2 linked regions of the Diceros bicornis minor genome follow. The protein of the gene in region 1 binds, or shares a complex with, the protein of each later gene. Links are inferred from orthologs where the notes say so. Each region holds a gene or a part of one and is shown in the gene's direction. Other genes may lie near its edges.

The links.
Region 2: the proteins of BRME1 (region 1) and HSF2BP are in contact, whole or in part, in a crystal structure (PDB 7Z8Z), measured with the Mus musculus proteins. The link is inferred for Diceros bicornis minor from reciprocal best matches to the Homo sapiens genes BRME1 and HSF2BP. Residues at the interface, in NP_083321.2 of Mus musculus: Met541, Gln542, Asp543, Ala544, Thr545, Val548, Arg549, Leu551, Val552, Leu555, Ser556, Asn559, Ile562, Met563, Thr565, His566, Leu569, Lys573; in NP_083178.1 of Mus musculus: Glu23, Phe24, Val25, Lys26, Val27, Arg28, Asp31, Leu32, Arg34, Leu35, Glu38, Val39, Gln41, Ile42, Phe45, Leu46, Arg48, Ile49, Glu53, Leu54.

The regions. Positions count from the first base shown.
Region 1 is NC_080769.1:3,770,375-3,777,767, forward strand, and holds the start of BRME1 (break repair meiotic recombinase recruitment factor 1), read left to right. Parts: upstream 1-4,408; intron 4,409-4,559; 5' UTR 4,560-4,687; intron 4,688-5,635; exon of another isoform or gene 5,636-6,195; 5' UTR 6,196-6,514; coding exon 6,515-6,868; intron 6,869-7,094; coding exon 7,095-7,199; intron 7,200-7,393. UniProt on the Homo sapiens protein: Meiotic recombination factor component of recombination bridges involved in meiotic double-strand break repair.
Region 2 is NC_080766.1:43,114,093-43,122,167, reverse strand, and holds the start of HSF2BP (heat shock factor 2-binding protein), read left to right. Parts: upstream 1-4,992; 5' UTR 4,993-5,383; intron 5,384-5,618; exon of another isoform or gene 5,619-5,779; 5' UTR 5,780-5,857; exon of another isoform or gene 5,858-5,955; coding exon of another isoform or gene 5,956-5,976; intron 5,977-6,119; 5' UTR 6,120-6,343; coding exon 6,344-6,379; intron 6,380-7,161; coding exon 7,162-7,312; intron 7,313-8,075. Other genes in the region: RRP1B (ribosomal RNA processing protein 1 homolog B), read right to left, coding at 4,666-4,795. UniProt on the Homo sapiens protein: Meiotic recombination factor component of recombination bridges involved in meiotic double-strand break repair.

The DNA.
Region 1 (7,393 bases):
GGCGGGCGGTGCCATGGGTTGCGCGGGAAAGAGGCGGAGCGTGTGAGGGCGGTGCTAGCATCGCGCATGCGCGCGGCGGGGCCTCGCAGTGCGCGGGAAAGAGGCGGGGCGCACGCGGGTGACGGGGGAGGCGGCGTCTCACGGCCTCCTACGGGCTCCGGCCTCACCTGGCGGTCTCGGTCTGGGCAGTCCTCACTTTTCAGTGGCCGGGGTGGGGCTAGTGTGGGCCTGGTCACCGGAAGCCGGGTCCACAGCGCTCGGGCCCCGGCCCTGAGGGGCCTCCTGGCCCTTCGGCTCCAGCGCCCCGGCTGCCCCGTCTCCGTGAGGGCCTACTGGTGTTTTCCCCCCAAAATTAACGCAAATGATTTAACCGACTTGTCCCCCAGCAGATCCAGGCCGACCTCCCTAGTTCCCGATAAGGACAGCGAGACCTGACGACTCCTTGCGCCCAGGTCGGTGTGGGCTCATCGGCCCCTGAGGCGACTCCGGCCCCTCCCAGGCCCCAAGCATCCCCGAAGGGCTCGCCACTCCTCGAAGGGCCCCAAGTGGCCCCTCTGAAGTCCCCAGGTGTCCCCGGAAGGGTCCTGGAGACCCCTGTCTGGAGGAAGGGGGCTTCACAAACGCCGCCCCGACTTAGGGACGAGGTCCCGGGTCCCCAGGGCTTTCCACGAGGACCCGGTGCCCACGTGCGCGGAGGCCCTGGGCAGGCGCCGGGCAGTCCCCGTCCCCTCCGCAGCGCGCAGGTTCCACTTCTTCCCCGGCCACAGCCGACGTGGCTGTGGCTCCCGCCCTGTGCCCTCGTGGGGCCCAGCTGACCCCTCGGAGCAGCCAGATGGGCCGAGGTGGGCGCGGGGGGCTTCCGCCCTCAGCGAGGCAGGGGGCTCTGCGCCCAGGGGCGGGGACTGAGTGTAATGCTGGGGTTTGGCTGGCTGTTTTCAGGTTTCTCAAGGAAGGATAACATGAGTAAGAGGAAGAAGGCTCGGACCTCAGGTACTTGGTCGTTCGGGTGGACACCTCTTTAGTGCTGCCTCTGCTGGTGGGAGGAATGTGGGCTTACTGATTGCAGAGATGCTACCATGACCACACCAAGCTCCTTAAGAAGAAAGTGATGACTTAATACGTGCCGGTAAGGAAAGTATAAACTACGGAGGAGTGCATACAGTGAGAAGGGAAAGCTTCGTGGGGCTTCCTGGAGCCCCCGGTGGGATCCCACAGCCTTCAGGGCGGGGTGCCACCTCCCTGGGGCCCACTCTCAAAGACGACCCCTGGATAGGGCTCGACGTGCTGCACGGCCATCTGGTGTGTGGCTAAGTGCTTTGCTCTTGAGCCAAGACCTGGGTTCCTCCCAGCACTCCTGCTCACTGCATGATGGCAGATGATGTACTCTGGGCCTCAGTTTCCCCTTTCTGTATATAGGAGATCCTAAGAGCACCTACCCTTCCTTTAGTGATTCTCAACCTGGTCAGGGAGGAATTTGCCCCCTAGAGGACATTTGGCAACATCTAGAGACATATTTGGTTTTCACAATTGTGTGTTGGGGGTGGTACTGTCATTTAGTGGCTGAGGCCAGGGATGCTGCTCAGAATCCTACAGCGCCCCGGATGGCCTGTATGACCCAGAATGATGCAGCCCCGGAGGTCAGCTGTGCCGAGGTTGAGAGCCAGGCCCAGAGCTCACACGTGGGTTAGTATATTTGCAGAGCACGGAGAGTAGACCCCAGGAAGGACACCGATGCATGCTGCTGTTATGATTGCCCTTCCAGGCTTTTCAGAAAACTTCATTTTGAAATAATTTGGGGCTTACAGAAAAGTTGCAAGAAATAGTTGAGAGTTCTGTCTCCCCTTCCCCCAGCTTCCCCTAACGTTGCCGTCTGGCAAAACCGCAGGACGGTGATCAGCCATGTAGTACAGCTTAAAAACCAGGAAATGAACCGCGGCACACTGCTGCTTCTAAACTTTTTCTGTGTATACGCAAATAGAGTGTTTTTATTGGAAAATTGAGTCATCACACGTTCTGCTCTGCACCCTCCGTTTTCCGCTTCCTGGTAGATCAAGATTGTCTTTACTTGTCAATATACACGTAGAATTTCCTCGTTCAAAAAGAAAGACGGCCCATATTACATGGTATGGTTCCATTTCCTTGTTATTGTCTAAGGTAACTTCAACTTCTCAAAAGTTTAGAAATGACTTCTTTACTGAGTGCTTAATGAACTTAGGGAGGAACACTCATTTTTTTCCCAAGATGTGGGATAGAAAATTAATTACCAACGGGTTGAAATGTTTTTGTGCAGAGATGCACAACAGGCTGCTTGGAGGCACAGGAATTTCTCTGACCTGGGGGGAGCCGGGGACAGGCCCACCCACAGCAGGTCTCTTGGGGCCTCTCTTGGCAGTGGACTCCCCAGATCAGTGGCCCCCTGGGCCGGCCCGGGACAGCAGTTTCTGTGTGTCCTGGATGGGGCGGGGAGAGAGACAGATGATTCTGGCAGGTGGTGAAAGAGGCCGTTTCCCTGCACTACACAAGGTTTGGCCTTCGTTTTTCTTAAATTAGTCTTGTGGGGACAGATCACCGGAAGGAAAGGGGAGGCTCTTCACTTCTGTTGATATTTTTGCTTTTTATTTGGTACAAATGTTCATTGGACAAGCAAAGCGAGCTAGTGTCTGGGCATCTTAAGAAACCAAGTAAACGAAGCTGCTGTATTTTGCCTTTTTTGGCAAGCCTCAAGGTGGGAATGTGTTAGTGTAAGAAACGTGGGTCGGAGCCTGGCCCTAGAGGCAGTGCTGGGGTGGGCACCTGGGGGCAGAGGCAGGGCAGGGATGAGGTCAAAGGGTGCAGAGGACTCGGTTCCTGCCCTCAGCACCCTCAAGGTCTAGTCGGGAGAAAGGAAAATGCTCCTCATGGGGAGAGCTAACTGAATACACGGCAGTGGAGTACAGTTCTTAATGGCACGCATGAACCGTACCGTATGGACAGAGTTAGGGGAAATGACAGGAAGGCGCTGCCGTCTAGTGGAGTATGAACAGCCAGGGGAGTGCTGAGGAGGACCCCGGCGTCGGCGTTGGGAGGAGGGAGCAGAGGTTCAAAAGGGTCTCCCTCCCTGAACCCAGGAAGATCAGGCCTGGGTCTGGTTAGTCTTTTTGTTCTCAGAAGCACAGTACACAGTATGTGCTCAGTAAATGCTCAAGTACAGTGAAGTGTGCAGGCTCTGGAGTTGGACTGCCTGCATCCCAGTCCCGATCCCTTGGCTCCATGTGCCTTGGGTTTCTGATCTGTAAAATGGGCATTACAGCAGGACCCTACCTCAAAGTTTTGTCTTGACGCACCCAGGTTGTCAGGCCAGTGTCTGGCGTGGAACTCACCAGAGTCAGCCCTTAGCATTTGTTCATTGAATCGGTGATTAAGTCGGGGTCAGGTTTGGGGAGGTCGTCCAAGCCAGCCGCTGGTGGCAGTTTCTGTGCAAGGGAGTTTCCTTCATTCAACAAATAGCTGTTAATAAGCACCTTTAGGTTCTAAGTTGCACTCAGCGATGGGGAAGGTATCGCAGAGATGTAAGGGACCAGGGGCGGCCGAGACATCACCTTGGCACTCAATGACTCGGGTCCCAGCTCTCCCGGTGGGGGTGCTCTGCGGACATCGAGAAACTAGAGGACACGGGATCCAGTGCTGGCTGCATCTCCCCGGGAGTGATCTCCTGGATGCTCTTCTAGGCACGGGGGACCCTGCAGACGAGGCCCCTCCTTGCATGGAGCACGTTGTAGAGGGGGGCCAGAAAATGACCCAGTCCATGGGGTCCTTGCAGGAAAGCTGTGGCGTGAAGGAGGCAGAGCCTGGGGCTGCAAGGGGGTGCTCTGTGGAGGAGTCAGGGGTGGCCCCTCTGCAGGGAAATTTGAGCTGAGACTTGGAAGAGCCAGCACGTACCTCCTGCCACTTCCCCAGAGAGACCGGCTGGGCCAGGGTGTCTCGGGTGGTTTGGAGCCACGCCAGGCTCCCTCAGGATTCAGCCACAGCCACGACCAGGCCGTAGCGAAAAGGCCTTAGAATCCCATGGCCGCGTAAGCTCCTAGGTCCCACCTCTTGGACGAGGTTGCATCCCATCTCTCGCTCTCCAGGCGGCCGTCGGAGCAGGGGTGTCCTGGCCTTGGACGAGCCTGCTCGCTTGGCCGCGGTGGTCCTGCCTTGTTTGGTTGTTTCTAACACGCCACCCTTTCATCTCCCTTTGTCTCTAACCAGGAGGAGAAGGAATCCGTCTTCCGAAACCCCCAAAGAACTTGAGGCTAGGAGACTGTGATGGGGCCCCCCAGAGTTCCCAGTCGGGCTGTTTACATCACCCTGATGAGTCAGAAGGCAGCTCAGGACCCGCTTCCTCTGCAGAGCGGAGCAGGGAGGAGCCAGGACAGGCGGCCTCCAGGTAGGTGGCTGAGAATCTTCCAGCAGCCTCCCTGATGACAGCACAGCACAGGGGCCAGTGCACAGGGTTGGGGGGCGGGGGGACCAACACAACCCGTCCCATGCGGTGCCTCCCCCGGGGGCTCAGGGCCCTCAGACTGTGCTTCTTGAAGCTTTCCTCCCAGGACTCGCTTCTCCAGCAAGAAAGGTCGATGTTTTAACCACAGGCGAGGAAAACCTCCAATTTCCAAGGTCACTTAGTTACGGATGCAACAGCATGTCCTGTCTGCTGGCCTAATCCGTATGTATCCCACATTCCTTCTCAATCAAGAAGGGACCAAGGAGTCGTGGGTCTGCTAAATAATGACTAGTAAAAGGGAAAAACAATCATTGTGTGCCAGGCAGCGAGTTAATAAGCGCTTTACACACATCAGCTCATTGGATCCTTGCAGCTGTAAAGTCAGTTTTTCTCCCCATTTGACTGGTAAGGACCCTGAGGCTTCAAGAGAGCAAATGACTTGCCCAAGGCCTCTGAGCTGGTGCAAGGCCGGGTCTGAGCTGGCTGCGTCTGGCTCCGTTTCCCCAGTTCCTTAATTTTTTCAGGATATATGTCATTATGCACAGTGGGGAAAAAGAAAGACCTGGAGAACAGTTTAGTCTGTCCACAGGGTTAAACCACACGTAACTTGAGCAAAGTAGGAAGGGTTAGCAGGAGTTAGGAGAAGAGCGGTTCCTGCCAGCCAGAGTCTTCAGAGAAGGCGTCATGGATGGGACTGCCAAATTTTCTGAATTAGAAATTGAGGCATGTGGGCCGCTGACAGAGCAGTTTTCTCGGGGGCCGGGGGTGTGCGTATCTGATCTCAGGTCATTGCAGTCTGAGGACGGAAGGCAGCCCTGTGTGTGTGACATGAAGAGGGGCCATGTGTCACAGCCCTTCTCCCAGACAGACACCGCAGTGTCACCACGCCCCTCACTCCCGGAGAGGCCAACAGGGCCCACGGGGTCTCGGCTGCTGCCCGCCCTGCCGTCTGAGTCCACGGGAATGGAGCCCACAGAAGTGGGTTCCCACTCTCTTGTTTTCTGTTGTTTTTTAAATGTTTTACTAAGAAGTACCACATGCACAGAAATATAACACAGGAAAAAAAGAACAGAAAGCAGACAAGCGGAACACATGCGTGTTGAGAAATGACATCTTGCCAGCAGCACCCCAGAAGCCTCCCGAACACCCCGTCCCAATTAAAAACCGTGGAGCAGACTGTTGCCATCAGCATCTAGGCTCGTTCTGTCTCCGTAACCTGCCTGGGCGCAGCGCAGGCCCCTTAGCGTGTCCTCATGCCTCCTCCTGCTCCCCTTCCAAAGTTGAAATCGTGTAAGTTTCAGTTCCAGATGTCGATCTTTTTTTACCATATACATATCCACATTTATTTAGCTATAGCCATAAGTCTCACCAGTTTTTTTTTTAAGAGCAGTTTATTTTTTTCAAGCAGTTTTAGGCTTACAGTAAAATGGAGATTTCCCACATACCCCCGGCCCCCACACATGCACGGCCTCCCCCATTATCACCATCACTGACGGGAATGGTGCATTTGTCACCAAGGATGAACCTCCGTGGACACCTCATTGTCACCCAGAGTCCGTAGTTGACTTGAGGGCTCACTCTTGGTGTACATCCTGTGGGTTTGGACAAATGGGTGGTGACGTGTTTCCACCATTATAGTGTCATACGGGGTATTTCACTGCCTTGAAAATCCTTGCCTGTTCCTCTCCCTCCCACCTCAGCGACCACTGATCTTTTTACTGTCTCCCTAGTTCTGCCTCTTCCAGAGCGTCACCGAGTTGGAATCACACAGGCCACTGTCTTCTCAGATGGCTTCTTTCACTGAGGAACACGCACTTAAGGCTCCTCCACGTCTGTTCATGGCTCCAGAGCCCTTTCTCTCCAGCGCTGAGTACTGCCCCGTTGTCGGGAGGCACCACAGTTTACTTATGCGCTCCCCTGCCGCAGGACGTCTCCGTGGCTTCCACGTTGCGGCAACTGTGACTGCGCCGTGTTTTGGACCCCGTGTTTCCCGCATCTGCACTTCCCTCCTCTAGCATTGGCAGACTTGGGGCTGGGCCGTCAGTCCACATGAGAATTCCTGTTCTCTCTGCAGGAGCGGCTCCTGGGCTTGTAGGGCAGAGGTGCCGCTCACACCCCGGCTGTGGGGCTCTGCATGCTTCCTGGCGGTTAACGTTGCAGGGTGCTGCCCACCCCCCTCCCTCCAGGCAGGGGCTCCAGGCCTCCCTCAGAGGAGGCTCTGAGCACTACTCTGCCTTCGGAGCTCCTTCCCTGTCTTACGAAGCATGTTGGCAGCCTCGGAGGACTTCAGAACCTCCTCTGTTTTGTCTTTCTCCGCCCAGCTCCCCTGAGGAGGAAGCAGGACCCCCCTCCAGGCTCCTCAGGCAGCCAGAAGAGGAGCCAGGGCGCCTTCCCCCTTCCCAGGTGAGCCGGTTCGCAGCCTCGTGCTTGCACAAGAGCTGGCCCCTGCAGCTGGAGTCCGTGTTCCTGCTCACTCTGCCCAGGCGGGCTCGGGAGAGTGTGCACAGGGATGGGGGCAGGGGCCGCGTTGGAGGCTGGAGAAAGGAACGGGCCTTGCTGCTTGGTTTTTCCTGGGCCTGCCTTCCTCCCTTATCTTTACTGCTGCTTTGTTCTTGTTTCTGGTTCACAGACCTCACTTGGGAGGTTCGTGCCTCAGTTTGCAAAGCCCAGGAAGACGGTTACACGACAAGCCGCCCGGAGGGCAGAGGACCTCGGGAGTGGGGCCTGTGGCTCGGTAAGGCCTTAAAACCGGCCGGGCAGAGCACTGTAGGTGCGCGGCCCCTTGGCCTGGCCTCGCAACTGTGTTCAGCCTGCGAGAGGCTCTCCGGACAGCTGCGCCTGCGCGGGAGGGTCGCGGCCAGAGCCCTCTTGCCCAGGGTGCGTGCGAGTCGTAAAGCCCAGAGGGGCAGCCCACATTCCAACCCTGAG
Region 2 (8,075 bases), on another chromosome or scaffold:
CATCGGTGCCCATCTTCCTCCACTTTATATGGGACACCGCCACAGCATGGCTTACCAAGCAGTGCGTCGGTGCGCGCCCGGGATCCGAACCAGCGAACCCCGGGCCGCCGCAGCGGAGCGCGTGCACTTAACCGCTTGCGCCACCGGGCCGGCCCCTGAAAATACATTTTTATTGCAAAAAATTCATATACTACATCAAAAGTCATACAATCAAGTGTCTTGTTCACTGCCTCCTGATTCCCAGTCCCCTCCCCAGAAGGACCACTGTTATCTGCCTGATGTGCATCTTTCCAATGCATTTACATAACACTTAAATGTAATACAGAAATGCATAGTTGTGTGTGTAACCTGTATTCTGTATGTCTGTATCTGGCCTTTTTCACTTAAAAATAGCAGGGTGTGTGGCCAGCCCGGTGGCGTAGTGGTTAAGTTCGTGTGCTGCGTGGACTTAATTTTTGGTGGCCCAGGGTTCACAGGTTCGGATCCCAGGCGCGGACCGATGCACCGCTTGTCAAGCCATGCTGTGGCAGTGTCCCATATAAAGTTGAGGAAGATGGGCATGGATGTTAGCCCAGGGCCAACCTTCCTTAGCAAAAAGGGGAGGATTGGCATTGGATGTTAGCTCAGGGCTAATCTTCCTCACCAAAAAAAAAAAAAAAAAAAGCATGGTGTATATTTATCTCTAGATGGTTCTTCTAAGTGTACCAGTATGTCAAGCCAACTCTATGTGATAATTTGATATACTCAAATATCTCTGGATAATCCACAGCTGTAATAGGCAGAGGTACAATATAATGCGCTACACAAGCTTTTGTAATGGAAAACAATAGATTTCGACAAAGCAACAGGGTGACAGTAGGTCCCAGACAGTGGGCAGGAAAGGGAGCTGGACGTGAAAACACATTCTGACTGCTTCACTCTATGCGAGGCACAAGCAGAGTGGGAGCAAACCCTTTGTTAGGCCCCAGCCTGCTACTCACTTGCTGTGCAGTATTAGAAAACAGCAGCTACCCCTTTGACCCTCAGTTTCCTATAATATATGTAAGGTTTATGGTTAGGATCAAAATTAAGACATGTATGAGGGCCGGCCCGTGGCTTGGCGGTTAAGTGCGCGTGCTCCGCTGCTGGTGGCCCGGGGTTCGGATCCCCGGGGCGCACCGAGGCACTGCTTCTCCCGCCATGCTGAGGCTGAGTCCCACATACAGCAACTAGAAGGATGTGCAGCTATGACATACAACTATCTACTGGGGCTTTGGGGGGAAAAATAAATAAGTAAAATCTTTAAAAAAAAAAAAAAAGATGTATGAGAGGCACTTGTAAGACCAAAGCCATTTAGTTGGTGGCTATTATTATGACTGTCTCATGTTCTCTACCCATAGGCTACTGAAGCTCGTTTCCCTTTTAAAACATCTGTTTTCAATATATGCATAAAAATCACCTGTTTTCACCCAGGAATAGCTGGTTAAAACAAGGTACCAATTTTTGAAGGATTTAAAACAAAACAGAGAAACTCTCACAATTTAATTTCTTTCAAAACTGAAGGTGAAGTACGTATCTGAAGCAGTTTCATTGCACAACTGCTTCTTGATCTGTCTTTCCTTCTTGGGGTTGAGTTTCTTAAACTTAATACAACTAAGTTTCTGACGACAATACAGGTTTAGTTATTTCAAAACGAACGAGGTGAGCATGCAAGTCAGACGTGGATACAGTAAACACCCATAAGCCGTGAGACAAGAAAACCCAACAGCTACTTTCATCACGAAAGGAGCACAGCAGCCATTGTAGGTGGGGGTGAAGGAGCACGCGCCAACTCACACCAGTGTCAAAACACACACAGCTCTTAGCTCTAACTACTGGGTCGAGAGACCTCTAATCCTATTGTAAGAAAAACACTTATTTCCCCTATTACTGGCACTGAATCTAAGACACCACCAACTGTAAGATGTACTATTTCACGTGCCCCCAAAAGAAAGCAAGAATGCAAATGAAACTGTCACAGGTTGACTTTAACGTATATCCCAATTCTAGTAGATGTTAAATGTTTAAAGTTGCAGAATTGCTCAAACAGGCAGGGATTTTTCTCTGTGTTTTCACTGCCAAAGACATGAATGCATGAATAAACAGGGACCAATGAGCCCTAATGAGTAAAACCATGCACAGTGACCGTTCTATGACCGTGGAGGCCCCACACGAGCAGTTAAAGCGCCAGAGCAACACTGAGCTGCTTTAAGCACTACGAAGATCTCCAATTTGTTTTCAAAATCACAAAGCTACCTACGATGGACGGCTACATGTATCAGTAAGTAAAATTTCAGATTGCCTTTACTATGCCTAGACAAGATGCAAAAAAATTTCAGCCTACCAATGAGATTCAAATGTCAGGCCAAGTTATTTCCAAACTCGTGTTTCTAATTTGACAGAGCACAGCTGTGGCAGAGACCTTGTTCATCTGTCCCACCATCACCGTCTATAACACTCACTTTGCAGATCCTTTTTTGAAGGCCCACTATATTCTGTGCAATGTGGATCTAGTGGTGAACAAGAGTTACAAGACAAGTAACTCTAGGTGTGATGGGCGCTAACCAGGCAGGACTCTGGGGCATTGGTGTAAGCACACTGGCCTCACGCTCCCGCGTCGCCTCAACATACATTTCATATCCTGGGCTTGCTCTGCAAAGGGGTTTGAGCAACAGGCCTGTCTGGCTGTCTCAGCTCCATATGTACTGCATCTGGTCTTTCTTCTGCTCTTGTATACAGTCAGGCCCTCGTATGCCTGGATATGCTCCCACTTTCAGCTAAGAAAACAGACGGAAGCTTACAGTGTTTTGGGGGAAGAATGACACATTAACACATAATTAAGAATCAATGTAGCTAAGTGCTACAATAGAGACATACTGTATCTTTCAGAATCCTAGAGGAGTGGGGGTGAGATGATAGGGAAGGCATTTTGGAGGAAGTGATACTGAACTGAATGCTGGGAGTGGATCAAGGGTGGGAATCTTTTTGGAGTGAAGAGAAGCAAAGGCAGAGAGGTGAGAAATGGTGTACTGTACACCAGGAACCAAGAGTGGCTTCCTGTTGATGGAGCGAGAAGCAGTCACATAGGCGCTGAGGTGGAAAGAGAAAAGGAAGACAGATCATGATCTGCAGGCCTGGGATTCCAGGAAGGTGGTGTTTTAGGAAGAAGACTCTTGGCTTGCTTGTGGAGGACAAGTTCAAGGGGGGACAAATGGAGGTAAGGAGATCAGTGGGGAAGCGGGAAAGTGCAGGAGTCTAGATGAGATAAAGAGAGCCTTTGGTCAGGACAGAGTAATTCAGGAGACAAAAGAGGTAGGACCAAGGGATGCTGGACGTGGAGCAGGGGGAGAGGATGAGGGAGAGCAGAGTCCAGGACAATACTGTGTCCAGCTAGAGTCTGAGGGGATGGTGGGAACTAGCAACCAACATAAGAGAGCACAGGTGGCAGGGCAGCAGCAGAAGAGAATAGGTTTTGGGGTGAAGAAAATGAGTCACTTTTGGGCATTCTGCATCTGAGGTGCCTGTGGGACATCCAGGTGGAGATGTCAGGTTAGTAGGGAATAGCTGAGCTGAAAGTAGCAAAGGTCTGGGCTAGAAATTTAGGTTTAGGAACTTTCAGCATATATGTGATACCTGAAACCATCAAAGTAAACTAAATCTCTCAAGGAGATTCCTAATAGAACTGAAGTCAAGAATTCTGGTCTTCATTCCTCTTTCTAGCAGACTTCGCATAAAATTGCATTTTCTTTTTCCTGGGTAGTCTTTCGTGATTTCGCTTCATAAGTAAAACAAGGAGATATCTATTTTTTCAAGTATACTCTAAATGTATTCCTGTTAGCAGTAAGTGAATCAAACTTTTTCCTAGCGCAACATAAAACCTCTATCCACAGTGCAGTTCATACCTCATGTGCTCACCCAAGGGTTTACAGAATGTATTTTGGATCAGGTAAATGAAATCCTTCAAGGCACCCCACTGAACTAAAAACGCAAACTACAAAGCTCGGTGTGACCTGGCCACTGCCTACTTTTCCGACTCCATGTCAAAGTACCATCGCCCTCCCTGACTCACTGGTCTTCCAGCCATTCCTAGGGCATGCTCCGCTCTTCCCTCCTGCCTCTGTTCAGATCTGCTGACCACCACCCCGGAGAGGCTCTCCTGGAACTGCCTATGCAGCGGAGCTCCCTCCTGCCCTGACTTCCATTTCCGCCCCTGCACTCATACGAGCTCGGTTTTAGTTATCTACGCCCCCTAGCTTTACTAGCAGAAGTTCCTCGAGGGTAGGGATTCTGTCTGCTCTCCTGGAACCCCAGCATCTAAAGGCGTCGGTCACACGAAGGCGCGAATCAATGAAGAGCACACCAGAAAAAAATCGGGCTGAGTCTAGCGATTCAAGGCGCAGGCTCCGAGCCAGGCAGACTGGGTCTATTCTCGGCTTCTCCCCTCGCTGTGACTTTCAGCAGGCTACCTGACCCCTGCGGCCGCAGCCCCTCGACCGTAAGACCGGACTAGACCCAGCAGGCAGCGGTGCCCACGGTGCGGACACACCGGGGCGAATGGCAGGCGTGCGAGCCGGTGCCCGACCCTCTCCCTGCTCCCCCGGCCCCGGCCCGGCCGCCATGTGGCGCGGCTAACCGCCGGGCGCCCACCTGTCTCCCTCTGCGTCTTCACGCTGAGGTACTGGCGCAGCTTCTTCACCGCCCGGTCCCTGATGCCCTTCTCGTGGGACGCCAGCCGCTGAGCGAACTGGATCTCGGCCGGCTGCATGGCGGGGGCCATCGCGTGCGCTGGAGCATCCCCGGCCGCAGCCCGCCGCGCCTCCACCTCCCGCTGCCGCCGCCGAACCCCAGCCGCCGTGCCGTCCGGGCCGCGACTGCGCAGAAAGCGGCGCGGGCGGCGGCGCGCGCGCTGATGGCGTCATGGAGGCCCCGGCTCGCAGCGCGACCTGGGAGCCGGCGGAGCGGCCCGGCGTGGGTTCGCGTGGTGCCGTCGCCCTTCCGCGGGCTTTAGGTCGTCAAAGCTCGGGGCCGTTGACGGCGAGCTAAGCCAGCGTTGAGTCTTGGCCAGGAAGAGACGGATGGCCAATTTTAAGTGGTCTAGAATCTTTAAGCTCTCTCCACAAAAACCCCATCCGATAGGCAGCTGTCCTACGAAATACACGGGTTTTTAGTTGCATTGGAGTCCTTGGCCCGCCTCGGTCGGGTGGAGACTGGGAAGAAGGGCCGTCCTTGGGATTTTTGGCGTGATATTGAGGGCAGCTCCATCGATGGGCCGCCCTGGGCCTCTACTGCCGGCAGAGGCAGCACCCTCCAGCATCTGGGTCCCGGGGCAGGTGCAGGGAAGGTCCCGGTACGGGGGCAGAGGCAGGTACGGGGGCAGGTCCCGGTGCAGGGTCAGGATATGGCAGGTGCAGGGCAGGGCCGGTGCGGGGGCAGGATATGGCAGGTGCAGGGCAGGTCCGGTGCTGGGGCAGGTCCTGGTGCAGCGTCAGGTGATGGCAGGTGCAGGGCAGGTCCCGGTGCATGGTCAGGATATGGCAGGTGCAGGGCAGGTCCTGATGCGGGGGCAGGTCTTAGGGCAGGGGCAAGGACAAGGACGAGTTCCTGGACAGGGGCAGGGCGGGGATCTGCAGCGTGTGCTTGCGAGTCTGCCCTCAGGCCTGGAGAGCACGCACTCCGGGAGCTCGGGCAGTGTCGGCTTCCTGCGGGTTTCCGAGACGGATGGTCTTAGTTGTGCGGTAACTGGGTACGCCTGAACCCACAGGCTGCATGCACCATGTTTCGCGAACTCAGCGGGCGTATTGGGGCAAGAGAATGGACCCGGTGACGTCTCCAAGTTCAGGTGGTCATCTCAGTTACTTAGCCAGCCGACTGGACTAAAGCTCCCTGGGGGGGCGGACTCCCCAAGGAGCTGTCGTCGGAAAGCTTCGACCTTTGCTAATGGGGCTCAGAGACAAGCGGGTGAGAGTGGTCACCAGCCGCGTGGGTGGTGGTTCCCTTGACCGCATCGCCCCTTAGTCTAGCATCCCTAGACACACAAGAAAGGCCAATTCGATTTATCTCATTTGACACTTAATCCTGGGTCTCACTGTCCTGCTTTGCAGTTAACAAGTTTAAAGCCCCGGCTGAGCCAGAAGAGCGATGCGGGATCTCGCCGAGCCCACCCCCAGTCCCCGAGACTGAGAGCGCTGCGCAAACTCTATGAAGTTTGAGCCTCGTGGCTCTCTGTACTCGACCCCTCGGCGTGGACGCATTCCCGCGCTTTCTTGCGTGTGAGGTCAGAGGGCGCGTTGCCGCGCAGGCGCAGGGAGCCGAGGCCGTGGCGGCCATGGGCGAGGCCGGGGAGACTGTGGAGGCCTGCCGGGTCAGTCAGGGGGCCCGGCGCCGCAGCTGCTGCGGTTGTCTACCCCGCGCCTCAGTGGACGCTCGGGAAGGGCCTGGGCCTCGTGGGTGGACAGCGTGGCCTGGACGGGGGTGGGGGCGGCGCGGCGGGCCGGTGGGCACCGAGCGGGAGGCGACGGCGCCGGAGCCAGCGCGCCCCGTAGGGCCCCTCGCTGTGCTGGGGCTCGGGTGTGCTCCGGGAGAATGCGGCTTCACGGGTGACCAGTGTCCCCTGAGTGCTCGTAGTGGCGTCACTGCAGTGACTTAGGAGGAGCTCGGACCCCAGAGGCAGATCCGTGTTCCCATCCTGCTTCGGCCCCCTGCTAATGGCGTTTCTTTGAGAAGGCCACCCATCCTCCCCAGGCCTTGGTTTCCAACCTGGACAACCTCGGAGGGCTGAGGTGAACACCACGAAATGAGATGACCAGCAAAGGGCTGGGCGCCCAGTGGGAACCCAGGAAACGTCCTTCCCTCCTGATTAGCCTGGCGCTGGAACGTTCAGGAAGATGCTGGCATTCTCTTTGGTTTTCAGGATTAGAGCTTCTCTCATGTGCCTGTGAGAAAAGGGAACTGGTTCCCATCTTGAAGGCTGGGGCTCGGCTCTCAAGATATGACGTGTATAGCAGAGGGCACTTTAGGTGAAGACGTGCTTTTGAAACAATTATGAACTCAAGAGGCCCTGAAGAAAAGGAAGCAAGCTGGCCTGGGCTGCGGGTTCTAGTGATCTGAAGGAAATGTAATCTTAAAATCTGCTTGCTTTTTTAGCACGTGGGAACTAAGGAAGAATTCGTTAAAGTCAGAAAGAAGGATCTGGAACGGCTGACCACTGAGGTGATGCAAATCCAGGACTTCTTACCCAGGATACTGAATGGGGAGGTACTGGAAAGCTTCCAGAAATTAAAGATTATGGAAAAAAGTGAGTTTTATTTCATTTTTAGCAGTCATTGATGGTGACAGACATCTGTTTCAGCAGATTTACCTTATGTAAATTGCTATAAAGTAATTGTAAGTAAATTCTAAGTACTGTTATAATCCTTGTAATTATTTTTGGGAGAGTCAGATAAGGCATAAGAAAGGGAGGGACCCTCAAATGGATAACTTTTTTGGACAGGTGTAAGTTTGTGTTGGAGGAAGAGTTGCCAGCTTTTAGGAATATCTGTTACCAGTTTCTCTTTCTCTCCACCTTTTTTCCTTGGCAGAAGAATTTTATTCAGTCATGCACTGAATAACGGCCTTTTGGTCAATGACGAACCACATGGACGACAGTGGTCCCATAAGATTAGTACCATGGAGCCTAGGTGTGTGGTAGGCTATACCGTCTAGGTTTGTGTAAGTGCACTCTCTAACGGTCACACAATGACGAAATCGCCTGAAGGTGTTTTTCTCAGAACGTACTCCTGTCGTTAAGCAACATGTAACGGTACTTTTATAATTGAAAAGCTCTACTCCAAAAACGTATAAGTTAAGGATCTGGGCATGGGGAAACTTGCGTGGAGTTGAATGTGTCTGTAGAGGTAGTTAGATGTGTTTCCTTGTCTCTAGGTTGATGGACGGGTCAGCTTCTAGCACTGATTCAAGTTCAGGCTTGCTGGTTCTTGTCCATTAAGATTTTGAGATTTGAGCTGAGCCGTTATGTCAGATGTCAGTCTGGGAGCCTGTTGAAGTTCTGGGAGATGTTC